3 linked regions of the Tamandua tetradactyla genome follow. The protein of the gene in region 3 interacts with the protein of the main gene of each other region in a biochemical or structural test. Links are inferred from orthologs where the notes say so. Each region holds a gene or a part of one and is shown on either strand. Other genes may lie near its edges. The genes, in order: MCM3, AMER1 and KEAP1.

Region 1 (10,185 bases), on a different chromosome or scaffold from region 3:
TTACAAGGCAGGATTTTGCTGGCTGGTTCCAGAGGCCATTTGGCATTCCATAATGTTCCTTAAATATGGAACAAAGGTTTCTGGTGGCTTTCAACATAGGCAGAATCCTAAAACAGAATCCCTGTCTATGAGGGTATCATTCCTTTAGCCAATTGAATTTCCAGCAAAGTAAATCTCTGTCAAGATATATATAGATTGATTCTATTGCAAGCTTTCGGTGGAGGTGGGGGTATTTTGGTTTGCTAAAGCTGTTGGAATGCAGTATACCAGAAATGAGTTAGCTTTTACAATGGAAACATTAGGTTATGAATTTATAGTTTTAAGGCTGTGAATATGTCCAAATTAAGGCATCAATAGGATGATGCCTTCTCTGAAGAAAGACTGCTGGCATCTGGAATGCGCTGTTGCATGGGAAGCATCTGGCTGGCGTCTATAGCTCCTTCTTTCTTTGGTTTCGTTGCTCTAAGCTCCTGGTGTCAGCGGCTTTCTCTTTCAGATTCTCCAGTTTTTGTTTCTTTTTTTCCCTCTATATGCTCCTGGGCTTTTTCTGTCTTTTATCCTCTCATAAAGGACTCCAGTAAAAGCATTAACACCCAACTTGAGTGGTCTGGGTCATGTCTCACTTGAAATAACCTAACCAAAATATTTCATCCACAATAGATCCCATAGGAATGAATGAAAAGAACATGACATTTTCTGGGGGTACACAATCCATACTACCACAGAGAGGGTTGTCTGAATTATTCCAGAATGTACAAGGTACTTCTTCCCACTTTTCTACAAACTATTCCCCTCCCAACTCTGCGCCCATCCTCAGCCCCTCTCCAACCACCACTACCACTACAACCATCAATTAACAGTACTTAGTGTTTACTATATTCCAGGCACTTTTCTCAATATTTTACATTCATTTTTACTTCATTGAATACTTAAAACCACTCCATGAGGTAGATATTATTTCTATTGTAACTTTAAGGGTAAGGAAACTGAGATACAGATACATTCACTAAATGGAATTGCCTTTACACAATTTTCAAATTTGCCATAAGCACATGGAATGTTAGAGTGGAATGGACTATGAGCAATTTTCTAATTTAACTTCCTCACCTTATATAATGGGAAACTGAAGCCCAGAGAAAATTGTGTTTAAGTCTAGCTCATTTATTGTATTATTCAAATTCTCCATTTCTTTATTGATCCTCTGTCTAGATGCTCTGTCCATTGATGAGAGTGGGGAATTGAAGTCTCCAACTATTATGGTAGATGTGTCTATTTCTCTTTTCAATGTTTGCCTCATGTATTTTGGAGGATTCTAGTTCAGTGCATAAATATTTATGATTGTTATGTCTTCTTGTTGAATTTTTCCTTTTATTAATACATAGTGTCCTTCTTTGTCTCTTTAACTGTTTTACATTTGAAGTCTAATTTGTTGGATATTAGTATAGGTACTCCTGCTCTTTTCTGATTGTTATTTGCATTAAATATCTTTTCCCGACCTTTCACTTTCAACCTATGCTTATCCTATGCTTATGTCTAAGATGCATTTCCTGTAGACATCATATAGATGGGTCCTATTTTTTAATACATTCTGCCAGTCTTTGTCTTTTGATTGGGGAGTTTAATCCATTAACATTTAGTGTTATTACTGTAAGGGCAGTACTTTCTTCTACCATTTTGCTTTTTGGATTTTATATGTTATATCTAATTTTCCTTCTTCTTACCTTTACTCATAGTCTTCCTTTCTACACTCTTCTCCACACCTCTTTCTTTTCTGTTTTCATATCTGTCTCTAGTGCCCCCTTTAGTATTTCTTGCAGAGCTGGTCTCTTGGTCACAAATTCTCTCAGTGATTTTTTGTCTGAAAATGTTTCAATTTCTCCCTCATTTTTGAAGGACAATTTTACTGGATATAGAATTGTTGGTTGGCAGTTTTTCTCTTTTTGTAATTTAAATGTATCATCCCACTGTCTTCTTGCCTCCATGGCTACTGCTGTCAAATCTACACATAGCCTTATTGGGTTTCCCTTGCATGTAATGAATTGCTTTTCTCTTGCTGCTTTCAAGATTCTTTCTTTTTGACATCTGACATCTTGATTAGTAAGTATCTTGGAGTATGTCTATTTGGATCTATTCTGTTTTGGGTATGCTGCACTTCTTGGATCTGTACTTTTAAGTCTTTCATAAGAGTTGGGAAATTTTCAGTGATAATTTCCTCCATTAGTTTTTCTCTTCTTTTTCCCTTCTCTTTTCCTTCTGGGACATCCACAACACATATATTCACATGCTTCATGTTGTCATTCAATTCTCTGAGTCCCTGCTCATATTTTTCCATTCTTTCCCCTATATTTTCTTTTGCTTGTTGGATTTTTAGATGTCCCATCTTCCAGTTCACTAATCCTATCTTCTGCCTCTTGAAATCTGACATTGTAGATTTCCATTGCTTTTGTTTATCTCTTACTGTATCTTTCATTCCCGTAAATTCTGTGATTTATTTTTTCCAGATTTTCGATTTCTTCCTTTTGTTCATTCCTTGCCTTCTTTATATCCTCTCTCAATTCACTGATTTGATTTTTGATGAGGTTTTCCATGTCTGTTTGAACATTCTGAATTGTTTCAACTCCTGTATCTCATTTGAATTGTTGGTTTGTTTCTTTGACTGGGCCATATCTTCAATTTTCCTAGCATGATTCGTTATTTTTTGCTGGCATCTAGGCATTTAATTACCTTAATTAATTTATTCTGGAGATTGTTTTCACTTTTTTTTTACCTAGGATTTTCTTGCTGGATGACTTTGTTGTCTATCTGTTCTTTGACATTCAGTTCAGCTTATTCTGGACCTCTAGCTTAGGTTTTGTTGTCAGAATTTTTCAGTTCTTATTCTCTTGTTTCTTGCCCTGCCTGTATGGTGCCTTTTTTTCTCCCCTTACTATGGTCTACTTAGGTATTATAGAGCCCAGCCAGATTTTCCCAGACCAAACTGACCTCCTGTCAGGAGGAAAGAGTCATCTTCATCAGTTTTTCCTGAGGGTGAGACCCAGCAGATTGAAAGGTTTTCCTATGAAGTCTCTGGGCTCTCTGATTTTCCTATCCTGCCCAGTACATGGCGCTTGTCTGCCTATGGGTCCCACCAGAATAAGGTGTTGCGGTATCTTTAACTTCAGCAGACTCTCCCTGCTGGGGGCGTGGTGGAGACAGAGGAGAGGTTGTAGACCGGTTTTAATCGCTTCAGTTTTCCAGACCCTGGGGTCTGAATTCCTTGAGGGAGGGATTCCATCTGAGCTGGGCCCCACCCCTCTCTTGGGGAAGGTACAGGCTCCAGACAAACACTCAAACCAGCTTAATTCTGCCTCTGCTTGGGGCAGTGGAGCCCAAGAAGCCTTGCAGCTGTATCCAAAGAGCAGTCAAACCATAGACACACAGCCACCAAAATGGAAGAGAAAATTCCTTTTCAGAGCAAGATCCCCATTCCTAGGGTTTGCCAATCAAGAGCTTAAGTTGGCACGTTGCTCTGTGTATCTCCAGGTCCCATATGCCCCCTCCTTTCCTTCAGGGCCCAGACCTTTCAAATCCAAAAACAGCTATTCTTTTTTTCTCTTTTTCTGTCAGCCCTGCCCCCTCTGAGCGGGGGCAAAAACCAGCAACCTCTGCTTTTACTCAAGGTTCAACTGAGCTGGGGGCCTATTTTTAGTAGTCAGAATTTGTGAATTAATTCCACAATTGGAATTTGGTTGTGCTCAGCCCCTGGTGCTCACAAAGTCCCTTTCCTTTCCCCTCTGGGAAGTAGCATGTGGGGGAGGGGCGCCAGCCACTGCGGTTTGGGGAACTTACGGTTCTGGGTGGCCTGGGGAACTCTCGGTTCTGGAGTGCTCACAGCCGGTCCAGCTGGTCCAGACTGGGGTACACTGTGTGTCCGGTCACTGACGTGGCCCCAGCAGTTGTTCTGTACTGTTCCTGGCTATTTATTAGCTGCTCTGGAGGACGAACTAAATCCCACACCTTGGTAAGCCGCCATCTTGGCCCCCTTCTCAAGAAAAATGTGTTTAGTATCAAAGATTTATTCTCTAGAATCCAATTCCTTTGGGCTTTCCACCACTAACGAGTTGATATTTTTGCTTCTTTGAACTAGACTGGTTCTTGGTTCTTCTGGTGTTAATTTTGAAGCTGTGTTTCCAGAGCGAAGAACATTGTATTGCCTTCAATATATTCATAAAATGACAATTATGAATAAGTCATAAAGACATTTTAAATAATAATGACCTTTTACTAGATAATGGTAAACAAGATCCTCATTGTAGAAATTTTTTTTTTCTTCTTGCCTGTTAAGCTGTTGGATGCAAAAAGCAAGCAGCCAGGCATGGCTTTTTTTTTTTTTTTTTTTGATTCAGGTTCATGTGGTTACCTGCTCACCATCCTGGAGATTTTCAAAGGTAAGTTAAAAACCAGTTGGTTGAAATTTTAACTGTAGAATTGCCAGGTGTCTTATATTGGGCAATCTGTTATTTTATTTTCCTGTGAACTTTTTGGCGCAACGGAAATGGAAATGTTGTTTATAGTGAACTGGGTCATAGTTACATACATACGTACATTGTGTAAACATTTATTGAGCTGTAAACTTAAGATCTGTGTATTCTACTGTATATAAATTATATCTGAAAAATAAAATTAACCAAACCACAAGAGAGAACAACAAAAACAAAACAAAACAAAAAAACTTTGACATTCAATTGTTATAATAATTTTACCCTCAGATTTGGTATTCTTAATCACCCATTGATATTTAACAGTGGCTTGAAATACTTGGTTTTTGTTTCTCCTTGTATTTGTTTACCTGTTAAATTAAGCTACTTAAAAGAATCTTGTGATCTTTCATAAAGTGAAAAAGCCTTTTGTGATTTACTAATTTTATCCTCTAATTTATCCTTTCACAAGTAAGATGACTGAGTAATTATGTCCAAAATTTTGTTGAATAAGACATGAGGTTTTTGCTTGGGAGCTGGAGGATATACAGAAAGTTTTTCTTCAACTCCACCCTTCTTGACGGCCTAGCATGATTATGGGGTACTTCAGGTATCGGTAATCTGATCAAAAACAGGTATAAACTAAATAACATTTCTCTGAGATGCTATGATTCTATTTTCCATTTCACAGATTCTTAAAAACACACTGCTTCCCGCCTCCCGCCCCAGATACTACTTGAGGGATGTTGCATCTGAAACATATCTAGCATACTTAATTTGTATACATTTTTAAAAGGATTTGCTTTTATGTTTTTCACCCTCCTGCATTTTAACCGCCCGTTTTCTGGCTATTCTCAACGAAAGACCCACAGAGTAGACCAAATCCATGGTTACATTGGATCACTCTGCGGCAAGCCAAGGTACCGCAGCCTGCAAAGAACCTCCTGAACATCCGGAAAGATAAAACTACGACTCCCAGAATGCAGCGCACCCCGCCTCTCCGGCTGCCCAATTACTAGGCTCCGTGGGCTCTCTCTTCATCCCATTGGCCAGCTCTCCCGGCGGGGAAGCGGGGCGGGGAGGGGAGAAATATAGAGAGTCCCGGATGGCGTATTTCCCGCCACCGCGAGGCGCTGCGTGGAAAGCCGGGAGAAGAAAAGCTGCCGATTGGATATTCGGTGTTCCGGTTTACGAGGAAGCAGCTAATTAGAGTGCGTATTTCACCCAGAGTCTCCGCCCCTTCCTCGAGGTACTCTTTGGTGGCGGGAAAAGCTCGGAAGTTTTCGTGCCGCCGCGGAGTCTACCAAGGGTCCTACACGCGGCTCTAGGGTAGGCGATTCCGAGGCAGCGAGCATGGCCGGGACTGTCGTGCTTGACGATGTGGAGCTGCGGGAGGCGCAGAGAGATTACCTGGACTTCTTGGATGATGAGGTGAGGAAGGTGAGGGAGGTGCGGGCGCTCGAGGCCCTGGTGTTCGGACCCCCGGGGACGGCGGGCGGGCTGAATGGTCGCGCGGGATGCCGCTCTTTCCGAAGCAGCGACAGAGCCCGGCAGCGAGAGGCCGGTCAGTTCTCCCTACTCTGACTGGCTGACTCGCTTTGCCGACGGCCGGCTGAGGAGCCTTCCGCCCGAACGTGTAACTCCTCGCTGTGAAATCAGTTGCTAATTGCCTCTCTCTAGTTGAATCTTTAGAGAGCCGTCTGGTAACTTTCTCCCCAATACAAGTAATAGTCAGGTCTCGCAAATGGCGACAGGCTTCCTTCAAGTGCAAACAAAATGTCAGCGTCCCCCTGGCCTTTTCGAAATTACGTCCTGCTCTTTTTGGGGGACAGGGTGGGAGAGGGAATATAGGTGAGAATCCATGGTGTTCGTCAACGTCTTACCACTGGGAGGAAAAGACCTTTCTAATTTGGCCGCATTCTTTTTCAGTTCCCAGTAACATGAAGATTAGGGGGTTTTGTATGCCACCCAAGATGTAAAACTATAGAATGTTGAAAGGTTGATGCTTTATCTGTAAACAAATGTCACCTTCTTCAGGCCTTCCTTTAGGTCCAGATATGAGAATTCTATATTATTACATACAAGATTGGGAAATGAAATACTTTGATTATATACGTAATTTTTAGATAAAAAGGCATTTTAATATATATTAAAAGTTCATTTACTTTACATTTTAATAAGGTTTTTATTTATTCTTTTAGTCTTCGTTTGAGCTCATTTTAATTCCCCACTAAAGCATACAGAAATATTTAATAAGTTGTTGTTGATATTAGGAATAATAGCATGGACCGTTATCCTTGAGAAAATTGTTATAATTCCTATAGTGTTGCAAATAGGCATTTTTGGAATCTGAGGCCAGGAATGAAAATGGGAGAAATTGATGAATGGATACTGGGGTTCAGCACTGCCTCAGAAATTGACTTGCTTATCTCGCTATGACAACTACCTTTGTTTTAAAATATCTTATTTTTACATTTGTGGTTGTGCTGATGTGTGGTGACTATTTTGCAGGAAGACCAGGGAGTTTATCAGGGCAAAGTTCGGGAGCTGATCAGTGACAACCACTACCGGCTGATTGTTAATGTGAATGACCTGCGTAGGAAAAATGAGAAGAGGGCTAATCGGTAAGTGGCAGGGGAATCGCAGGAAGATAACCCTCTTCCCCATGTCTGAACATGTCTCCCTTCCCAGGAGAGGACCCAGATGAAAAGTGATTGACTTAGGAGCCCTCATAGCCTCACCTGCTCCTATATTGTTGTTGTTTCTTCTTTCAAATGTAGGTGGTAACTATTTTCCTCTCATGTGCATCTCCTTCCAATGTTTAACTAGGTATCATTTCTACATCTTTGACAAGTTGAAACAAACATGACCCTTAGTTCTAATGTTATTATACTGAGTCTTGTAGGATGACAAGAGAAAGTAAGAACTGGATTTCCACTCCTTGGTCTTGACTTGGTCTTGATGGTCCAAGAATGTCCAATTCCTTTTCCAGGGTCACCTTTTTGGAGTTCTGTCCTCTCTGCCTAATTACTCTTTTTTTTGCCCATATGCAGCCTCCTGAGCAATGCCTTTGAGGAGCTGGTTGCCTTCCAGCGGGCCTTAAAGGATTTTGTGGCCTCCATTGATGCTACCTATGCCAAGCAGTATGAGGAATTCTACATAGGATTGGAGGGAAGCTTTGGCTCTAAGCATGTCTCTCCCCGTACTCTCACCTCCTGCTTCCTCAGCTGTGTTGTCTGTGTAGAGGGCATTGTCACTAAATGTGAGTGGGTTAAAGTGGGGACTGAGGGAATGCTATACTTCACAGGGCTGGAAAAGCCAAAAAAGGCAAAGTAAAACTGGGTAGCTTGTGGCTTCAGAAAGGTGAATGATTGAGATTATGGGTGAAATTTGGAGGAGTTCAGAGTGCGCATAGTGATTAGGGTGGAATCAGTTGTACTTAACATTTTACATAGATATGGTGATGTTCTAGATATAAATGCGAAAATGAGTATATGATAGGTAGTATCGAAAAAACTTAAACTAGTCAGAACCCAGTATTTGTAGTCATTGTAGGCTTGCCTGTGTTCATATTACATCTCTATCATTGTCTAATTGGATGATTTTAAATGCATGTTTCTCTTCCTAGGCTCTCTAGTTCGTCCCAAAGTGGTCCGCAGTGTCCACTACTGTCCTGCTACCAAGAAGACTATAGAACGGCGTTATTCTGACCTCACTACCCTGGTGGCCTTTCCATCCAGTTCTGTCTATCCCACTAAAGTGAGTGGAATGAATCAATAGGGCTTCTTTGGGGGTTGAAATCAGAAGTGCTTGCTAGCATACGAGTAATTGGGTAACATCTGAAATCTTGTAGAAGTAGATGAAGTGAATAAATAGTAAGGATTAATCCAAAGAAAAAGTTAATTATTGGCCAGAGTTTAATATGGAAAATTCATAATTCTTATATTTTAAAAAAGAATAAATATTTATTTTAAAAGATTGGGGAAATTGTGGAAGAGTTATAAGAAGGGAGAAAAATAATTCATTCTGCATAGATCTTTTAAAAAAAATTAAAATCTTATGTATCTCTTGTAATATGCTTTAAACTGAACATAGGAAAATACTTATAATATTACTATAAAATCTTTGCACATGTCATTTTACTGCATATATAATAGTCTGTCACACAACAAATATACCACTTTGTTAAGGTTGAATTCTACAGCCACTTTAGGTTATAGAAATCCCATTAATCTTGATGTTGGTTTTAGGAGCAGTTTGCTAGTTTGAGAGAAAGCTGGCATAGGAAAGCGTTCTTTTCTTAGATCAGTCTGAATTGAGGAAAATGCAAGGCCTTCTTACTTAATTAAACAAAAGAAAATATTTAATATAGATTACCTCATGTCTGAACTCATCCTATCAAAGAATGCTCCCCCCCATCAATTTTTAGTTGTGAGCTAGTGTATCCAAAATATTGCTAGTCTCTAAGAAGGACACAGATGTAAGTAAAACACAGTCCTTGTCTTCTGGCTTACCTTATATGTCTTGTAGCTTGATCCATAAGAGCAGTGGTGAGGGGTGGAATCACCAAATGCCCATCAAATGGAGACTCATTAAGTAAATTACTATAAATTCATGCAATGGGATGAAGACCAGACTGTTGTTTACAACAGCTGCAGCAGCAAAAAAAGGCAAAGCTGAGCAAACTCCAAATAAGATAAATCTAAAATATTATACCTTGGTATATCGTGATCATGCTGAAAAACAAAGGTAAAGAGAAAACAAAGATGGAGGAATCTAATATACAAATAACTAAAAGAATAATCTTGGAATTTTAACTGAAATATACTCTAACAGTCATTTAGACTACCTCCAAATGAAATGCTGAGAGATTTGGTGAGGTTAAGTGATTTGCTTGTGGTTCTAGTTAATGAGAGCCCTAAGAACTAGGACCTGTGTCACTTTACTTCAGGCTGGTTCTATGTGCTAAGACATCTTGCGCTCTTCTTCATTATGGTCTCCACTTTAACTTCTAAAACTTATCCAGGTACCCATATTTGGGCTAGAGAGTACTTGTTTTTGCTGATCACTGTGGCCAATCTTTGCTTGAGACCTAAAATACGTTACAGCAGATTTCTTGGAGGTAGTCTAGTATAGTGCTTAAGAGCCAAAGGCTTTTGAGTTATACCTGGTTCAAGTCCTGGCTCTGCTTCTTGTAGTGTGACCTTAGGGAATTTATTTAACTTCTTTCCTAGCCTGTTTCCCTATTTGTGAAATGTAAAAAATATCTGCTTTACAGAGTTGTTGGGATAATTACATTAGATTCATGAAATAATAACACAATAACTGATACAGTAGTAAGCACTCCATAAGAGATAGCTGTTTTTTTTTTTTAAATTCAAATGGCAGGGATGCAAAACTTTAAAATGGTTTTTATTGAAATTTATTATGCATACAGGAAAGTTCATATAATTGTACAGCTCTATGAATTTTCACAACCTGAATACACAGCATCTAAACTAGACTCTTGAGCTCCCACATTACCTAGTGGTAACCACTATGCTGACTTTTTTTTTTAACACTTTATTTTTTTTAAATTTATTTTTTATTATCAAACCAAAACAACATACAAACTTGAACATTCTTAACATACAAACATATTTCGTACATAGTGTACAATCAGTGGTTCACTATTTCATCACATAGTAGTTTTCTTTTCACCGTGATCATTTTTAGAACATTTGTATCA
Region 2 (9,481 bases), on a different chromosome or scaffold from region 3:
TTCCAGCCAACCTGAAAAAACACCTAGGGCAATATATAAGATTCCACAAGGGTTCCATGCACTAGAGTAACTTTTCAGAAACCTACAACCTACAGATGGGTCCCTGGTCCAGATAAGTCCTGAAACCCAGCCCAGCCTCTCCAGAACATCAGATAGTTTCATCTCCATATGCTATATTAGTGGCAGACCCTTTCAATATGAGAAATTTAGAATTGCCATAGCCCAAACAAACCCTAAAGAGAGGGATGGAAAGACCAAAGATGATGGTGGAGTTATATGGAGAAGACAGGATTTAACGAATGAATATGAACGCTGAATCATTAAATTTTTATCTCTTTTAGTCTCCAGTATCTTAGATTAGCTAGAAGTAAACACCTAAAATCGTGAAATTGTAACCCATGTCAAACTCTGAAACATGCTCTACAACTAATTGTGGTGCTGTGCTTCGAAATTTATAGCTTTTTCGTATATATGTTATTTTTCACAAAAAATAAAGCCGATTGGGATGACAAAAAAAATATTTAAGCCTTCTAGCATCCTATATTCTGGAGCAGCTAGAAGGAAAAATAGGAGAGGATCGTATGGTAGCCCATGACAAACTCTGTTATATGTCCTATAACTACTTGTTGAAGAGTGCTTTGAAAAGTATTGTTTTTTTATTTCTTTGCTTTGTATATATGTTACATTATACAATAAAGATGTTAAAAAATAAATGAAAAAAGAAAACTGAAATGCCAGGCCTCCCTCTAACCACCACCACTAGTCAAACTTTTGGAACAAAGAGGCTGCATGCACTACCTCACAGAACATTCTCTTGACCTCCCATTGCAGTCTGGTGTACACTCCCACCCCTGCTCCAAAATGGCCTTGCCCACATCACCAGTGACTTGCTAGACCCACATTCAATGGTATTTATCTTGCTGGACCTCTGGACAGTATTTGACACATATACTCTTTTTTTAAAAAATATTTTTATTGAGAAATCTTTACACACATACAGTCCATACATGGTGTATAATGAATGACTCACAAAATTCACCACATAGTTGTGTATTCATCACCATGATAATTTTTAGGACATTTGCATCATTCTAGAAAAATAAATAAAAAGAAAAAATTCACACATTTCATTCCCCTTACCCCTCTCTCTCATTGACCACTAGTATTTCAAGCTGCCCAGTTTATTTTACACCTTATCCCCCCTATTATTTATTTAATTTTATCCATATTATTTTTGCTCATTTGTCCATACTCTGGATAAAAGAGCATCAGACACAAGGTTTTCACATTGTAAAAGCCAATCAAAGCTACTGGAACACAGTTCTACACTTTCAGGTACTTTTCTCTAGCCACTCCAATACATCTAAACTAAAACGTATATCTATATAATGCATAAGATTATCTCCAGGATAACCTTTCAACTCTGAAATCTCTCAGCCACTGAGAGACAAATGAGACAAATCTCATTTCTCTCTTCCCCCCTTTTGGTTAAGAAGGCTTTCTCAATCCCATGATGCTGGTCCTGGCTCATCCCAGGAGTTCTGTCCCATATTGCCCGGGAGATTTACACTCCTGGGAGAGCATTTGACACATACACACTTGATAATGCCATCTTTCACTCCCATGCCTTCCTTGACTTCTGTAAGAGCCAGCTCTCCTGGCTCTGGTCCACCTTGCCAATCCCTCCCTCACAGGGCTCTGTAGGCTCTTGTTTTTTACTTCTTTTTTTCACAACCTTCATCTAAGGTGCCATCACCAAGTCTTGTCACATCTATCTTCAGAATACATCCAAAATCCAATTACTTCTCACCCCTTCCATTGCCTCCATCCTGGACTGAGTCACTATCAACTATCACCTGGATCAATGTACAAATCCTCCTGTTCTCCCTGCTTTCTCCTTGTTCCTACACCCCACTCCCACCCCCAAAATATGCCTCTCCTCAGTTCAAACTCCTACAAAGTATAAAGTCTTAAAAATGGCCAATAAAGCCTTATACCATTTGTCTTCCCCCATGACCTCTCTAACCTCCTCTCCTACCACTCCCATCACTTACTATGCTCCAGCTTCACTGACTGCCTTACTGCTCTGTTACCATTCTAGCATGTTCCCACCTCAGAGCCTTTGTACTTGGTGTTTCATCTGCCTGGAATGCTCTTTCTCATGATTTGCTCCCTACGTTTCCTCAGATCTTTGCTTAAATGTCACCTTCTTTGTGAGGCATACCCCAACTGCCCTGTTTAAAACAGTAAGTTCCCACATACCCCATACTCCCTGTACCCCTTTCCTGCTCTATTTTTTCTATAACATTTATCACCATATGACATACTATGTATTTTACTTATGTATTTCGTTCAATGTGTGTTGGCCTTCGTGGAGCTTCCACCATCATAATGGGAAACACAATTTAAAAAATGATGGAAAATAATAAATAGCCATAAAAATAATTTGCTAGGAGGTGGTAAATACTATGAATAAGAAAAAAAAAATGCTGGTTAAGGACTGGAGAGTAAAGGATTGGAAGTGGGGGGATGGGGATTACTATTTTATATACCAAGTGAACAGGAAAAGTCTCACTAATAAAGTGACATTTGAGCAGAGACCTGAAGGACTGGGAGGGAGCAAACAATGCCAATATTCAGGGGGCAAACATTGTAGGCAGAGGGAATAGTGAGTTCAAAAGTGGGATTTCAGACATGTAGAACTCGTATGTCCTCAACAGAATCATTACTTTTCCTAATTTTGTTCCCATATATCTCTGCTTAGTGGATAGCAACATCATCCAGTCCCTTGCCCAAGTTTGAAACTACAAGGCACTGGTCTGATGGCTTGATTGCCTTCCCAACTAGACTGGTTGCTGTTGAGGGAAGAAGCTGTGCCTGGTTCACTATTATGGCTATGGAACCCAATTCAGGACCTGGCACAGAGGAGGTTCTCAGTGACTGGCAACATCACATTTCGTTAGTAGATATTAGACATGAAAATGAGTTGATATTAGACGTGAAAATGCTTCTTTTAGTCATTCTCCAAATACATGCCAGCACCAAATTTGTGCTAAACTCCTCATTGGGTGCTGAAGATACAGATTAAGAGACTCTCTGCCCCAGGAAACTCTGCCTGGCTCAACACAGTCAAGAGAAATCTGCATAAAAGAATCACCCCTGCTAGCCTCCCTGATCCCCTATTCTGACTAAACAAGTTGTTCATCTATTAGTGAACATGTGAGACTTGATTCTGGAGGGCTCCTGCAAGGAGGACATAACAAGGGCATTTTGAGGTACTAATGTGCACATTTGGTCTTTCCATGCATTTTCTCTGGGGAAGGTATGCTCCACTTCCCCCTGCTCTGCATTCCTTCTTCCCAACACACACATACATACACATTTCTGAGACTCAGGAACAGGAAGAAAGGTGCCCAGCTAGGAGGATTCTGTACCATTTCAAAGGTTATTTTCATTTCCCTGAAGCCCTATTTCTTTTAGGCCCAGCTTAAAAGCTTAACACTGACTAGTGTAGCAGAATGGTTGGTGGCTGGGCAGAAGGCATGGAGAATTATCTCCTGTGACAGGACCAGTGCAACAGTGCCCTCTTGCCTAGGGTTATTTGGAGCCAGCCACCTGACTATTCTACATATCTCCTCTCTCTCTGTTCCCACAACTAAAACTGCCCTGGCCCTTTGTTTCCCAGTGCTCCAAGTTTAGGAACTGCCTTCTCCAAACTGTAATCTTTGGCCTACTTCAGAGAGCCAACATTCTGGGAGAAATATGAGCAGGTGGCAGGTGGTCAGAGGTACAAGTTAGCAGGGAGGCCAATGAAGGAGGTACTGGGAAAGAAAAGCCACCTCTAGATCAGGCCCGACAAATGAGAATCAGGACTTTGCAAAGCAGGAAAGCACAGCTCCTGGGAAATGTCATAGTCTAGGCCTCCAGATGGGCAAACTGAGGTTAGAGAGAAGGGATTTGCCTAACAAAGTTACACAAGGAGCCAGCAGCAGACCCTCTCTCCTCTATTTGTTTAGACCAACAATTAGGATAGGAGGTCGGATGTCCAAATTGCTGACTTTTGTTGTGGGGAGATGTATGGAATGTCGTGGAAGGTCATGGAATATCATGGACTATTATAGAAAGAACTGAGTTGGCCTGTCAGAGATGCAAGAGATTGAGGAGCTTGATGGAGATGGGATAGATGGAATCGCCCAGAGAGGAAAAGAGACCAGCCAAGGCCATACAGGAAGTTTGAGGCAGAGCTGGGGCCAGGTCGGAGCCCCAGCAGGCATGTCAGTTCCTTTGCTCCACACATACAGGGTAGTCCTCCTCTTACCAGTTCAGTAGTTCGATCTTTTTCAAGACAAGCAACTCCCAGTAGAGCAGCAGAGAACACTCACGCGATGCAAAAAATTGGCCTTCATTGTTCTTTAATCTCTCCCTCTCTTCTCAACTTTAATCCCTCCCCTCTTTTTTTAAACTGTCATAGTTTTAAGACTGGGCCTTCTGAAAATTCTTCAACTAGTGGTAGAACTGGATTCCTTGCTGTCTCTCCTTATCTACTCCTGGCAGCCAGCCACTAATGTTACTTAATGCCCTCAGGCATAAGACCTAGCCCATGGCCACATTTCAGGCACAGAAATAGACAAGGCTAACACTGGCCTCCATACTCTGTCCTCAGCTTGACCTCCATCTGGGCCTAGGCCAGATTTTTCTCCCACTATCTAGGCTTTTCAGGGACAGGAACTTGCACAAAGTCAGGCTCACGGTTAGAGGTGTGGGGGACGTCTGGAGACCTTGGGGGATTCTCTAATGATTAGTGAAAGGTGGGAAATTTGGGTGCGGGTCAAACTCAGGGAACAGGTATCTTCCCAGAGAAGAAAAGAGAAAGCTGTCATGGACTTGGAGCCCAGTCTCTGTTTTCCAAATCTGTCGGTGTTGCTGACGGTCTGGGTGACTACGTGGAGGCGCTTTCCCTTCTCTGGGCAGCAGCAGCCAGTCGGTAATGGGTGGAGGCTGGCCTCGATGGTCCCTAAGGGCCCCCGTGTGCCTGAGAGGTGGGGGGAAGCTGGGTGAGGATACTGCAGTCGGTTTTCCTGGCAGCTGAGTCCCTCCTCTGTGAGGCCCGGGACCACAGGCCCTATGGCCTTGCCTCTACGCCTAAGGATGGGCCAGGCGAGGTGCCCAGAGGCTCTGCAGTCCCCCAGTCTCTCAGCCCCGCTTCGCCCCGTCCGCTGTTCTCTGTCAGATAAGCTGCCTGATGGTGGACAGGGAGCTGCAGCGCGAACGCACGGCGACCGCGGAAATGGGAGCGGGTGCAAAACCGAAACTGAGCTTCAAGAGTCTGGTGAGCCCTGTCTGGGCGGGACCCGCCCCGCGAGCCCACGGTGTCACAACGTTGGGATCCAAAGGCAAGGAGGCAGGAGCTGGAGCAGGAGCTGGGGAGCTCCAGCGCCAGGTTCCGCACCCTCTCAGCAACAGCCAGCACCACACCCGAGCTTATTTGCATTTAAAGAGAAACGCACCAAGAAAAACAATGGGCGTGCCAGGGCCCGCCTTCCCACCGTTGCGATTGGGCCATAGAGCCTGCCAATCAGAGCGCGGATTCCCCACCCCGTGGCTTTGGAGTCCCGGAGGAGGGGGTATGCGGGAGCACCCCAGAGTCTGGGGAAGGGGAGTCACTGCTTGGAGGTGACTGGAGCTGCGGCGACGTTGGTAGGAGCAGCGGCAGCAGCCTAGGCGACGGCGGCGGCACTCACAGCTGCGACAGCCGGGTCTAGAGCCCAGGTCAGGGCGGCGCAGCAGACAATACCCGCGCTGAGAGCTGGACTGGGTCGGCTAAGCGTTGCGCGCAGCTGAGAGCCTCCGCCTGCCTACTGCCTGGTGCAGTCCCGCGTGCTCCATTCTGGCAGCCTTGAGGAGGACACCAAGCTTTGGGCCGGTTGGCGCCCCGGGCGCTTGCTCTCTCCTTGGACCTTGTTTGGTGGACTGTCCGGTAAGCTGCAGAGCGCCAGCGAGTCCCCGGGGCCCTAGTGACTGTAGCCGCGGGAAGTGGGGGGTGGGGACAGGCGGGCGGGCTAGCTTGGGCCATGCCTCTGGGCTCTTGGGGAAGGCGGGGATGGGCCCGCCCGAGCTACCGCGAGGTCCCTAGAGGGGCGCCGCCACTTAGCACTCCCAGCCTTGCATTTGTAGGCCGGGAGCGCCGCACCTTTGTTGTAGCAGATTTGCTGGAACTGCTGACTTACCCGGGTCCCGCTAACCCGCGGCCCTGCTGCTGCCCCTCCCCACCCTTGTGCATCTCCACTCTTTCCCTCCTTTCTGCGGACGAAGCCAACGCTCTGACCAGTGCCCGATCAGGACTGACTTTGGCATGAATTGGGGGATCCACACTGTCTGCCCCCACCCTCTACTCCCCGGAGGAATTAAGTGGGCCTATGGTATGCCTAGTTCCCCTCGGAACCAAGGCCTTGCTGCTCCAACCGGCCGCGCCCCCTCCTCCCCTGCCTCCTGTCGCATCTGGCGCCTGCCCCCGCGGACAGGCGGGCTGCTGGTGGGGCTGTCGCTGGTCCTTGGCTTAGAGCTTCAGCTCAAGGTGGTCCTTGGGTTAGAGCTGCAAGGCTTTGTCTTACCCACTCGCCTTGCGTCCTCTCCCTTCGGAGGGCACTGGCAGGATTTTTCTCTTCAGCCTCCGGATTAAAAATAGCGATTGGTGTTGCGGGGGTGGGGGATTTCCGTGCCAGAGGCCGAGGGGGCAGTCGTTGTAGTAGGGGAATGCAGCGTTTGGGTGTGTGAGAGAGGCAGAAAAGCAACCAAATCCTCCAACTTTGCAGTTACTTAAAAAACCCAGCCTTCCGAACCACTGCTATTGTCTGCTGCAGACACCTTTGACACTGGTAAACCTCTAGCAGCCGGACTTTGCCTGGGCTCCCCGGGGGGCTAAAAGGGTTGTGCACGCCAGGCGATCAGGCGGCAGCCAGACTGGCCCCGCAGAGCCGCCCTCCACTTGGCCAGTCTCATCTTGGTGTGGGCTGCGGGTTCAAAAGGAGCCCCCCCACCACCAAACATCTTCCTTTGCTGTTCTGCTGGCCTGCTGCAGCCATATGAGCAGGGTGGAGTGCACAGTGCTGTTGGACTCCCTGCTACACCACCTCAGATTCCAGCAGAGCCCCAGTGCAGCTCCCCTCATTCTGCCCTACGCATTGCACAGCCACTGCACAGCGATGAGCCTCTGGCAATTGGTTCTCAAGGCCTCTCTGAGGAACACGAAGAGAGGAAACAAGCTAAGAGCTTGACAGTCTCTTCTTGGACCTTTGACCAACCTGTGAAGGTGGAGAACCCTGTCCACTGCCAGGCCCAGACAGAGCCTCAGCATTTCAGAGAAGGGGCAAGGAGACCCAGTGACTCCCTCACTTGGGGGAAGGCTAGCAGGGGACCATTTTGATACTGGCTAGGACTGCATACCACGCTGCAGTCACCAACTCCCACCTTGGCTACACCCCAACAGAAACCCCACTCACAGTGGGATATCGCCAGTCCAGGGCTGGACCTGTCCTCTGTCCTGCCTCAGGCCAGCAACTGCAAAACACATCTGCCGTATATTATTCCTCTCACAACTCCATACCCAGCAACTATCCAGATTCTCTTTCCTCTAAGGTCCTAGCTCAGGGCCCCACTTCTGCTTGGTGCTTTTTTTGCCCATCTCTTACAACCCATGATGACCTTTTCTTTCTCAGAATTCCTCCAGGGATGTCTACATCTCCTGGGCATTTGGTGGTTTGAATTTTACTAGGAGACAGACTATAACTAATTTTCCTTGCCTCTGCTTTGTTTCCTGATATCATGAATATCTGGATTTTCTCTGAATCCCTCAGAGGGGTAGATGAAACCTGGGACCTCAGCGGTAAATCCCTTAAAGGCCAGCAGTAGTTGGTAGTTAATGAATGCTCCAGAAGGACCTGCTGCCTTTGCAAACTTTCCAGAAGACCTTGACCTGTCCAATTTATGCTTGTCCCAGTTCTCATGAAAGTGACTAGATAAATGGCACTCAAGGCTCAGATTTTTATTGAGTGTAGCTAATGAGAATGGAGGAGGATGGGTTGCTACTACAAGGAAAAAAATCATGATCTATCCTTTCAACAAGAAGCTCAGGATGTAGGCCACTTAGAACCCAGACTACACCTTTATGAGCCCAGAGACAAACTGCGATGACGAGAGATGAGACCTGTGTATATAGGGGGGATCATTCTGGGAAGCTTAGAGAAAGTAGGGAGGTTTGGCTAAGCAAATGATTGAGTGACATAAACAAAATAATTCCACATCTGAATGGAAAGGGGTGGCTGACAGGCAGCCTGAAGTAAATGAGTCAAATCTGATTAAGATGGTATGGTTCTGGGGTAGAGGAGGTTGGAACCCAGGGGTCCATGTTCCCAATTGCCAGGCTGCAGAATGGGGATCTTATCCTGTGGTGAAATAGGGCATCAAAGAGTTGGGAATTGAAGGGTTTTGATATTTTTGTGTGTATAAATATGCCATGATAAAAACGGAGTTTTAGAAAGAAATTGGAAGCATGTAGCAAGTTGGACAGGTAAAAGGCCAAACCTTTGGATATTGAAACACAGATCAAGGCAAGCAGTCTCCAGAGGGAAGTTGCACCATATCAGCCTCCATTTGGGGGAAGAAGCAGGAAAAAGCCTGAAACCTAAATACCAACGTGGTGGCAACTGAGAAGTGTCCCCCAGGCCTCTACTGAATCCCTTTCCCTCAGCTGGACAGGTCTTCAATGAGCACTGATTTGGACTCCTGTGCTTACAGATATGAAACCTGAGCCCTGGAAATGAACAGGGACTTGCTTGAGGTCACACAGTTGAAGTCTCATAGCTACTTAGGGATAGGCTGCTGCTTCTTAGACAATAGCTCTTTCCAAGGTATCCCGCTATCTCCAGGGTATCCAGCAGCTCCATTCAACATAGATCTCATCAACACTCACCTCCCCCATCCCCCAAGAGTGAAGGGGACTGGGGTTTGAGGAACCCATCTGGTTGGAACCTCTCCCCTTTCGTGTCTCTTTTCCTTCTTGGTCTGCAGCCCTGTGGAAGGCTGAAAGTTTCAGAAGGAAGGGAGGTGGAAGAAATTGGCATTCTAATGATTCCCTTCTGATCTAGTGGAGGTTTAAAAATTCCTCAAGAACTGTTACATTCACACTCTGAGAAAGTGTGTGGTAGGAACAGCCTTACTCCTCTGGTCCAGAGGAATGGGGGGATGGGAAAAATGCAGAGATACTGGTAGGTAAAGGATTTGATTACAGATAAAAGGAGAAAAGAACTTCTGCCCCTTACTTACAGGTAGGCTACCTGAAGCTGGAAGAGGGTAATCCCATTGTCATTCCACAAACTAGGTGGTAAAGGGAAAGTTCCCAGAGGAGGTATTTCATAGCCTACTTCTTACTTATTCCTGGATCACTAATCTCACCCTGTACTACCAGGAAGTTCTTTCTCAGAGC
Region 3 (10,364 bases):
CGCCAGTATGAGATCCTTCATTAAAATATATATATATATACAACATAATTTTTAAATAATAGTGTTTATACTTTGTAGTGCCTGGGCTTGGGACACAGACCTTGTTTTTCTCACCCTCACTGCAGCCTGGCCGGGTAAGGGTAGGGCCCCCTGTTTGACAGATGTGGGAACTGAGGCTCCAAGCAGTGGGTCACTGGCCCCAGCGTGCCTCCAGGATTCTAGCACTGGCGGGGAGACTTCCTGGTCCCGAGACGCCAGCAGGCGTGGCATCTGGTCCCCTCGTGAGGGGACACTCCTGCCCCTGCCCCGGGGGGTCTGCATTCTCGGCCAGGGACACTACCAGACCCCATCTGTGCCCATAAAAAGCTCCAGGAGCGCTGGTCCCGGCCCCGGGCGTGTCGCAGAGCGCATTCCTGACCCCTGCGACACGGGGCCGTCCGGGGGGAGGGGTGGAGTGGGGCGGGGGTAAGGGGATCGGTGGCACTGGGCTCAGAGCGAGCAGCGCCACCTTCCGGGAGACTGCGGAACTGCAGGCCTCCTCGAAGATCCGGGGGGTGGGGCAGGGAGGGAGGAATCGGTTGCTTGGAGCGTGACTGACCCCAGCTGTGTGTCCGAGCCTCCTCCGGCCATGCACTTGCCGCCCTGCAGGTCACACACATGGGAATTCAACCCATTTCCTAGAACACAAACACGCTGGGGTCGCACGGTCCCAGGGCGCTCGGCCCGGGGTGGCCTCCCTGCGGCTCCTCTAATCTCCCAAGGGAACCCCGAAGCCTCCTTGCTCCCCCCGGCCCCACTGGTGGCTCGTTTGATGGTGCCAGAGGATTTATGGACTTAGTCACATTTTTCAAAATTCCCAAACCCAGTTACACTTCTCCTCCAGGGTCACTCTCCAGATCCCTGGGAACCAAACAGGGCTATTTTGTGAAATAAATGAGCCAAAATATAAACACCATCTCCTCTTTTTTTTACACGACTTGAGCATCACCCTGCATTTTGCTTTGTTCGTTCAATAGCATGTCTTGGAAAGTATTGCAATCCCCTCTCCCCTTTTGTTCTGCCTTTTCATTTAATTGAGGTTAGCTTTCAAACAGTACATGCGGTGCACTTTTTAACCGGCTGCATACTATTTCATGGCGTGGATGTGCTACCACTTATTAAACCAGCGTCCATACCGAGGGACATGGAGGGATGCGACCCATCCTTTGCAATCAGTTCACCCGGCGAGTGTGTCTTGGATAAACCCCTCCAAGTCCCACCGGGGCCTCACAGGACGTGTGGGTCTGATTATATATATATATATTTTTTCAAATATCTTCACACACCTACAGTCCATGCAAAGTATACAATCAGTGGCTCACAACATCGTCATGTAGTTGTGTATTCATTACCATGATCATTTTTAGAATATTCGAATCACTCCAGAAAAAGAAACAAAAAGAAAAAACCCATACATCCCATACCTCTTACCCCTCCCTGTCATTGACCACTATATTGCAATCTACCCCAATTGTTTTTTACCCCTTATCCCCCTATTTTTATTTATTTATTGTCCTTATTTATTTATTTTTTACTCATCTTTCCATACCCTGGATAAAGGGAGCCAGCCACAAGGTTTTCATAATATGTGGATCTGATTTGGAAGGCTGCCTGCAGTTGCCGCACAGCCTCGGGGTGTTCCCGGGCTGTGCGCCCCCTGTTGGAGAGGTCGGGAACCGCAGTTCCACGCACCGGGAGGGGCGCAACCCCACCCCCTAGCCCCAGGCGCCTGCTTAATGTCAAACCTGAGCTGAGGGTTATCCTCCAAATTCACCCCCCGGAGGCTCGCGGAATCCTTATTTAGACCTGCCTCTCTCTTCAGCCCAGCCTTTCCCAAACTTCCCTCACTTCTATGAAATGTTTCCACTCAGATGGACTGCCTTAAAAAGAAACTTAGAAATATTTATTTAAAAATTAACTTCACAGCCTAACTGGCATAAATGGCAAATCAGTATCCCTCGTGCTGGAAAACACAACAATCGTTTATATCTATTGGGTGCCAGGATAATCTAGCAGGGAGGTTATTAAGCATGGGGTCGTTTCACACGTGTTAGCCAGTTGCAGAGCTGGGATTCCAACCCGAGACAGACGAGGTCCATGCATTTTTTAAAAATTTGTTTATTTACTTCGAGAAGTTGTAGATTTACAGAAAAATCATGCAGAAAGCACAGCGTTCCTATATAACCCCCACCTCACACATACAGCTTTCCCTATTTTTTTTTCTTGTTTTTGTTTTTGATCTTATCCTTTTTTTTTTTTTAACAGCTTTTCCTGTTATCAACACTTCTCCTTAGTATGGTGAGAGAATACCATTATAATTATACTATTAACTAGAGTCTCTAGTTTACCATAGGGGTCACTGGTTGTGGTGTTCAGTCCCATGGTTCTTTGTTAAAATTGTTTATTCTGCTAACATAATATGCAACCCCAATTGTCCCCTTTCAACCACATGCAAATATTTAACTCAGTGGTGTCAGTTACTTTGACAAAGTGCTGCCATCACCACCACCCCTTACCAGAACTTCTCCACTGCCCCAAGCAGAGACTTTGTACCAATGAAACTCTAACTTTCTATTCCCCACCTCCAACCTGGTTCCTGGTACTCTTTTTCCAGTCTCTGACTCTACACATTTGCTTATTCTAGCTATTTCATATCAGTGAGATCATACAATCTTTGTCCTTTTGTCTTCTGGCTTGTTTCACTCCACATGATGTCTTCAGGGTTCACACATGTTGTCCCAAGTATCAGAACTGCATTCCTGTTTACGGCTGAATAATATTCCATTGTGTGTATATGCCACATTTAGTTTATCCATTCATCGGCTGATGGACACTTGGGTTGCTTCCATCTTTCGGACTTTGCAGATAATGCAGCTATGAACATCAATATGCAATTATGTTTGAGTCCCTTCTTTCATTTATTTTGGGTTTACACTTAGAAGTGGTATTGCCAGGTCATGCAGTAATTCTGTACATAATTTTCTAAGGAACCGCCAAACTATTTTCCACAGTGGCTGCACCACTTTACATTCCTACCAACAATGCAAAAAGGTTCCTATTTCTCTGTGTCCTCACCAGCACTTTTTAGTTTCTGTTATTTTTTTTTCAATAGTTTCCATTCTATTGGGTGTGAAATGGTGCTTCATTATGTTTTTTGTTTGGTTTTTCATGGGCAGGCACCGGGAATTGAACCCGGGTCTCTGGCATGGCAGCGAGAACTCTGCCTGCTGAGCCACCGTGGCTCACCCTCATTATGGTTTTAATTTGCATTTCCCTAGTGACTAATGATGTTCAGCATCTTTTCAAATGTTTATTGAGCATCTGTATGTCTTCTTTGGTGAAATGTCTATTCAAGTCTTTTGCCCATTTCCCCCGAGGCTTTCTTCTAGGAGTCTTGTAGTTTGGGTTCTTATGTTTAGGTCTTTGATCCATTTTGAGTTAATTTTTGCATATTAACTTCATCCCTTTACACATTCCAGCACCGTTTGTTGAAGAGTCTCCTCTTTCCCCATTGAGTGGATTTGGCATTCGTGTCAAAAATAAATTGGCCAAAGATGAGAGGGTGTTTTTTTTTCTGAACTCTCACTTCTCTCCCACTGATACACATGTCTCTCTGTGCTAGTACCATACTGTTTTGATTACTGTAGGTTTCTAATATTTTTTAGTGCAGTTTTATTGCTATATTGACACACCATACGATCCATTCAAAGTATACAACTATTTACTGGCAATATCATCACATAGTTATGCATTCATCACCACAATTTTAGAGCATTTTCATTACTCAAAAAAAAAGAAAAAGAAAATAAAAAAGAAAACCCAAAACATCCCATATCCCTTATCCCTCCCTATTATTGGCCCCTAGTATTGGAGTCAATACATTTATTGCTGCTGATGAAAGAATATTAAGATATTCTGTTAATTCTAGTCCACAGTTTGCAGTAGCTACTTTCTTTCCCCCTGTGCCACTCTATTATTAACTCCTTATAACAGTGTCACTCATTTGACCTAGTTCATGAAAGAACTTTTCAATATTTGTATTGATAATCACAATCATCGTCTACCACAGACTCATTGTATTATGTATTCCCATATTTTAACCTTCAGCTTTCTTTCTGGTGAACGACATGACCCTAAACTTCCCCTTTTCACCGCATTCCCACACTACTCTGCACCGATAATTATATTTGCGATAACATGCTACCATCAACTCTACCCATTTCCAAACATTTAAGTCCACCCTAGTTAAATATTCTGCACATTTTAAGCAACTGCTCCCTATTCTTTAGCCTCATTCTATTTCCTGGTAACCTATAGTCTAGATTCTGTGCGTAATATGTTTTAAAATTAGAAAGTATGATCCCTTCAACTTTGTTTTTCTTTGCACGATGGTTTTGCCTGTTTGGGAATCCTTAACTTTTCCAAATAAATTTTATGATTGGCTTTTCTATGTGTTCAAAGAAGGCTGTTGGAATTTGAATTGGGATTGCATTGAATCTGTAAATCACTTTGGGGAGAATTGACGTAAGATATTTAGTCTTTCAACCCATGAACACAGAGTGTCCTTCCATTTACTTAGGTCTTCTTTGATTTCTTTTTAGCAATGTTTTGTAGTTTTCCATATTTAAGTCCTTCACTAGATATTTCTTTAAGTTGCTATTGTATGTGGATTTTTTGGGTTGATTTCCTGTTCTGATTGTTCATTACCAGTATATAGAAACAGTGCTGAATTTTGCATGTTCATCTTGTATTCACCAGTTGAATCTGTTTATTAATTTGAGTAGCTTTATTGTGGACTTTTCAGGATTTTCTATGTAGAGGACCATGTCATCTGCAAATAAGTAAAGTTTTTCTTCTTCCCTTCCAATTTGGGTGCCTTTTATTTCTTTTCCTTGCCTAATTCCCCTGCTAGAACTTCCAGCCCAATGTTGGATAACAGTGGTGACAGGTGTAGCCTTGTCTTATTTCAGATCTCAGAGGGAAAGCCTTCAGTCTTTCACCAATGAGTATAATTTTAGCTGTGAGCTTTTCATATATGTCCTTTACTGTGTTGAGAAAGTTTCCTTTGATTCCTAGTATTTTAAGTGTTCTTACCAAGAGGTGCTGGATTTTGTCAAATGCTTTTTCTATATCAGTTGAAATGATCATTTGTTTTCCCTCCCTTCACTCAATTGATGCAGTGCATTCTTCAATTGATTTTTCTTAATTCAACCCCTCCTTGCATACTTGGGATAAAGCCCACGTGGTCTTGGTGTATAATTCTTTTAATGTGCTGTGGAGTCTGGTTTGCTAGTATTTTGTTGAGCCTTTCTGTATCAATATTCACAAGGGATATTGCTCTGTAACTTTTTCTCTCTCTCCTTTTTTTTAAAACCTGGCTTTGGTATGAGGGTGATGTTGGCCTCATAGAATGGATTAGGAAGTGTTCCCCCATTCAAATTTTTTAAAACTTTTTTTTGTATGTGAAAAATAACATATATACAAAAAAAAGCAATAAATGTCAAAGCACTTTGCAACAATTAGTTGTCAAACTGATTCCAGAGTTTGGTGTATGGTTTACAATTCCACCATTTTAGGTTTTTACTTCTAGCTGCTCTAACATATTGGAGACTGAAAAAAAAATCAATATAATGATTCAGCAGTCATACTCATTTGTAAAACCGACTGTTTTTGTATAAACGCCACCATCACCTTTGATCTTTCTCACTCGTTAGGGGTATTTGGGCTATGCCCATTCTAACTTTTTCATGTTGGAAGGGGCTGTCAGTAATATGGGGTAGGGAGATGGAACTAGCTGACATTCTGGAGAGGCTGGGCCTCTAGGTTTCAGGACTTATCTGGTCCAGAGACCCATCTGGAGGTTGAAGGTTTCTGGAAAGTTACTCTAGTGCATGGAACCTTTGTGGAATCTTACATAATGCCCTAGGTATTCCTTAGAATTGGCAATAATGCTTTTGGTTGGCCCCCTATTTAATTTTTTTGGAAGAGTTTGAGCAGGGCTGGCTTACTTCTTGGACTGTTTGGTAAAATTCACTTGTGAAGCCACCTGGTCTGGGCTTTTCTTTTTGGGGAGGGTGTGGATGACTGAGTTGGTCTCTTTACTCGTTATTGGTGGGTTGAGATCGTCTATTTCTTTTCCAGTCAGTGTAAGTAGTTCGGTCCGCTCTCCCTGTAAGAAGAGGTAACTAAAGAAGAAAGCCAATGAAAACCCAACCGTGTAGCTAATTCTGAGCGGATCCTGTGGCCAAGGCCCCCAGCGGGCCTACAGGAAGAGCAGGTGGTGGAGGGAAGCCTCGCGCCCAGAGGCCCTTGCCACCAAACCGGGACGATGGAAGGGACAGCGCAAAGAGGACAGGTCCCCGCCGGCCCGGCGCCCTGCACCTGCGGGAAGGGCGGGGAATCGCGGCTCCGGCCCAGGCGCGCCCTCCCCACCCTCTCCCCGCCTCCTTCCCAGGCGTCCCGAGGCCGCCCGGGAGCCCAGGCCCCCCGACGGCGGAGGTGCCCGCGGGTCCCTGACGGCGGTTGACCGGGCCGGAGCCCCCATCGGGTCCCGGAAGCGCCGCGAGCGCGTGGCACCTGCGAACTCCGGCGCCGACGCGGGGCCCGAGGTGAGCGCGGCTGCGGGGAGGGCTGCCCACGGGGGTCCCCGGTGCGGGCAGGAGAGCGCCCGGGCTTCGAACCCCGGGGCTCCGGTTCCCGAGCGCCGGAGGCCCCTGGGCGCGCAGAAGGGGCGGGCGCTGGGGCTGCGCCCGGGCGACCGCGGCCGCGGCGGGGGGTGGAGGGGGGAAGACCGAGGGTGCGGAAGGCGGGTAGCGCGCCCTGTCCGCCCCCCTCCCGGGGCTGCCCGAGGCCCGGGCCGCGGGGACTTTTATTCTGACACGCGGGCGCCCGGCTCTGCTTAGTCATGGTGACCTGCGCGCGCGCCGCGATGGAGGCGCCGGGGCCCCGGCGGCGGAGGCGGAGCCCGAGCGCGACCATGGCGGGGTGAGTGAGGCGGCCTGTGCCGGGGCCCGCGAGCCCGGCGGCCGAGCCCGGAGGTCGGGGAGCCGGCCGCCGCGGGCCGGGCGCCTCCGGGGATCCCCGCGGCCCGGGGAAGGGCCGGGAGGGCGCGGCCCGGGTGCCATCCCCTAGTTGGACGGGGCGGCCCAGGAGGGACGTAGGCGGGGGGGCCCAGGCCACGTCGCTCGCACCGAGGCCCGGGGACCTCGGGGCGCTGCTGCTGCCGCTGCCGCCGCTGCTTCTGCTGCTGCTGGCGCCGGGGCGGGGGGCTCGGTCCGCTCCCTGGGGCTGGCGGCGGGGTCACTTCCTGCCTTCTCCAGGCCTTGGCGGCGGCTCAGGCGGGGCATGCGCAGTGCCCACTTGTCGCTTCTTGGGGGCCACGGGAGCGGGGTTGCGGGGAGTTGAGCAGGAGGCGAAGAGGCAGGTCCTGGGCCTCGGCCTCAGCCGGTGGTGCCCGGGTGGAGGAGAGCCTCGGGCCGGGGCGAGGGGAGTGGGCAGCCTGCCAGCCGGCCACCCGCGTTTCCTGACCCCTGGGCAGTGCCAGACCCCAGGGGGAGGCACATGGGATGGGGTGGGGGACACAGCCTGTGACTTAACCAAGAGCTCCTGCTACAGAGATCCCTGGGGGACTGGTGGCCAGAGGGACACTTAATCCTGAAGCCAACTAGCAAAGGAGGTGCTTTCAGTTTCTGACAAGTGCAGTGATCAAAATGAAACCTCAGGAGAGGTGACTCTGAGCTGAGAAACTCTTAGGGATTGCACCCCTTTTCCTGGCCAGCAGTCCTCCCTCCAGGCTATATCTAACACTCCCATCCCTCATTGTCTACACTGCATGCAGCCCCACCTCCTCCTCCCTTGCTTCTGCTGGTCTGTTTCATTCTGCCTCTGAGCTTTTGCAGTCACTGTTCCCTCTGCCTGCAGCCCACTCCCCTTCCTGCCTTCACAGTTATTCCTACTTTACCTTTTCAGAGAAGCCTTTCCTGGAACCCCAGGTTTAAAGTAATCACCCCTCATCACTGTGTCATGAGGCCGTTTTAATGTTCTTCATAGCTTTGGGTTTTATGGTTCTTCCTCTCCGAATGTTAGCTCCATGAGAGTGCAGGGTTTTGTTTTTGTTTTGTTGGTCTCTCTTGTTCACTGATGTGTCCTCGGTGCCTAAAACACTGCCTGACATCCAGTAGGTGCTCAATAAATGTGTGACAGGTGAAGGAAGGAGAGAGCTTGGTGTGCTCGAGGCAGGGAAAGGCCACAGATGGCTGGGACAGAGGGGGCAAAGGGAAGAGGTGAGCAGGGGCTTTATGGGCAGGGCCTTGCAGGCCACTGAGGAGTTTGGTTTTATTCTGCACGCCACGGGGAGCTGTCGAATGATTCTGAGCAGGGGCTGTCGATGACCCGACCTGTGTTTTAAGACGGCCCTCCTGCTGGTGAGATTATAGAGAGCGGTTAGCAAGTGCAAATGGATGCTGCATCACCTGGTTTGCTGGGAAAGGAACCCATGCCGGGATCGCTTTAGCTTACGGAAGGAAGCCCCAGGCCCGTCCCCAACACAGTGCTCTCCCTCTCCAGGCCCCTGAGTGCCAGTGGCAGCGGTGTCCCTCGTTGCCCGGAGCTCCATGCAGCCAGAACCCGGGCCTAGCCGGGCGGGGGCCCACAGCCGATTCCTGCCCACGTGGTCACAGCGCCCCGAGGGGGCCGGGAGCGGGGTGATGTACGCCTTCACCGAGTGCAAGGCCGAAGTGACGCCCTCCCAGCACGGCAACCGCACCTTCAGCTACACCCTGGAGGACCACACCAAGCAGGCCTTCGGCATCATGAATGAGCTGCGGCTCAGCCAGCAGCTGTGCGACGTCACGCTGCAGGTCAAGTACAAGGACACGCCGGCCGCCCAGTTCATGGCCCACAAGGTGGTGCTGGCCTCGTCCAGCCCCGTCTTCAAGGCCATGTTCACCAACGGGCTGCGGGAGCAGGGCATGGAGGTGGTGTCCATCGAGGGCATCCACCCCAGCGTCATGGAGCGCCTCATCGAGTTCGCCTACACGGCGTCCATCTCCGTGGGCGAGAAGTGCGTGCTGCACGTCATGAACGGCGCTGTCATGTACCAGATTGACAGCGTCGTCCGCGCCTGCAGCGACTTCCTGGTGCAGCAGCTGGACCCCAGCAACGCCATCGGCATCGCCAACTTTGCCGAGCAGATGGGCTGTGCCGAGCTGCACCAGCGCGCCCGCGAGTACATCTACATGCACTTCGGGGAGGTGAGCACGGAGAAGCCGGGCCGTGCGGGCGCTCCGGGATGGCGGGCAGTTCCTCACGGGTCTGTGTCCCCGTCGTGTGTGCAGAGTCAGGCAGGTGGCTGCGGGGAGATGGGCTTCTGAGCTTCGGGGCCACACAGTAGGGAAAGGGCTGGGGAAAGTGAGGTTTTCATGGGTCTCTGGGGTCAAGCTGGGGACCGGGTAGGAAAGGCAGGACGGCAGCCACACTCTCCCCCCTCCCCAGCCCACCCCAGGGTGTGCCCAGCAGGACCCTTTCTTGCAGGCAGGCAGCAGAGATTTAATGAACACCCGTGAGCAGCTGCAAACTGCAAGACTGACTTTTAGGTGTGTTTTTTGGGGGGCCCATGCCGGGTCCTTCTTCTGATGGCTTATGATTTCATTTTTGTTCTTAAGTAGAGGAAGCCGTCGACAGAAAATGGCAGGAAGATTCTTGAAAAACCTCGATGATGAGACCTAATTCCTGCAAGGCAACGACAGCACTTGTGCCTTTGAGCTGATTTAAGCGTTTTTTGAGCACTTACCTGTGTGCCAGCCCCTGTTTTCAATTCAGTCATTGAATCTCGTCAGCCATCTACCTTTGCACCTGGTTAAGCAGGCTGTGGTCCAGGCTCTAAGCCTCAGGGAACCCCGGGCTTTGGGGTGCCCTCCTTGACATTTTCTAAGTTTTCTGGTGGCTGGGACTAGCTGGGGTTGAGGGTGCCCCATTCCCGTTTCTCCACTTCTGGGTGCTTTGCTTCCCTCTATGCTGCAAGTGGTTGACCAGATGCCTCAAAGAGGTCTAGCACTGACGTCTCCAGGCTCGTCCTGGGGCCTGGTGCCAGGAGGGTGACCTGGTAAGAAGGTCGCTCCCATTTGGTGTGAGTGGTGTTTCACATGGAATGGGGTACAAGAACGTGCTGACCTGCTGATTTGGGGTGACTGACGTTGTCTGTAGTCACAGGCTCCTGATAAGCCATATTTGCCCATGGACCTGCGACCCCTAGGAGTAGCCCTGCTCTAAAACAGCTATTAATACAGTCCACATTTTACAGAGTGGGGAAAACCAAAGCACAGAGA

What was found.
Region 1: the proteins of KEAP1 (region 3) and MCM3 form a complex in vitro, tested with the Homo sapiens proteins (2 studies listed by BioGRID, with this or other methods). The link is inferred for Tamandua tetradactyla from reciprocal best matches to the Homo sapiens genes KEAP1 and MCM3.
Region 2: the proteins of KEAP1 (region 3) and AMER1 form a complex in vitro, tested with the Homo sapiens proteins (2 studies listed by BioGRID). The link is inferred for Tamandua tetradactyla from reciprocal best matches to the Homo sapiens genes KEAP1 and AMER1.

Annotation. Positions count from the first base shown.
Region 1 is NC_135331.1:110,768,319-110,778,503, reverse strand, and holds the start of MCM3 (DNA replication licensing factor MCM3), read left to right. Parts: upstream 1-5,520; 5' UTR 5,521-5,810; coding exon 5,811-5,888; intron 5,889-6,968; coding exon 6,969-7,081; intron 7,082-7,510; coding exon 7,511-7,719; intron 7,720-8,085; coding exon 8,086-8,216; intron 8,217-10,185. UniProt on the Homo sapiens protein: Acts as a component of the MCM2-7 complex (MCM complex) which is the replicative helicase essential for 'once per cell cycle' DNA replication initiation and elongation in eukaryotic cells.
Region 2 is NC_135353.1:109,861,017-109,870,497, forward strand, and holds the start of AMER1 (APC membrane recruitment protein 1), read left to right. Parts: upstream 1-5,608; 5' UTR 5,609-5,977; intron 5,978-9,481. UniProt on the Homo sapiens protein: Regulator of the canonical Wnt signaling pathway.
Region 3 is NC_135337.1:91,322,227-91,332,590, forward strand, and holds the start of KEAP1 (kelch-like ECH-associated protein 1), read left to right. Parts: upstream 1-6,493; 5' UTR 6,494-6,647; intron 6,648-6,945; exon of another isoform or gene 6,946-7,023; intron 7,024-7,532; exon of another isoform or gene 7,533-8,462; intron 8,463-8,604; 5' UTR 8,605-8,651; coding exon 8,652-9,290; intron 9,291-10,364. UniProt on the Homo sapiens protein: Substrate-specific adapter of a BCR (BTB-CUL3-RBX1) E3 ubiquitin ligase complex that regulates the response to oxidative stress by targeting NFE2L2/NRF2 for ubiquitination.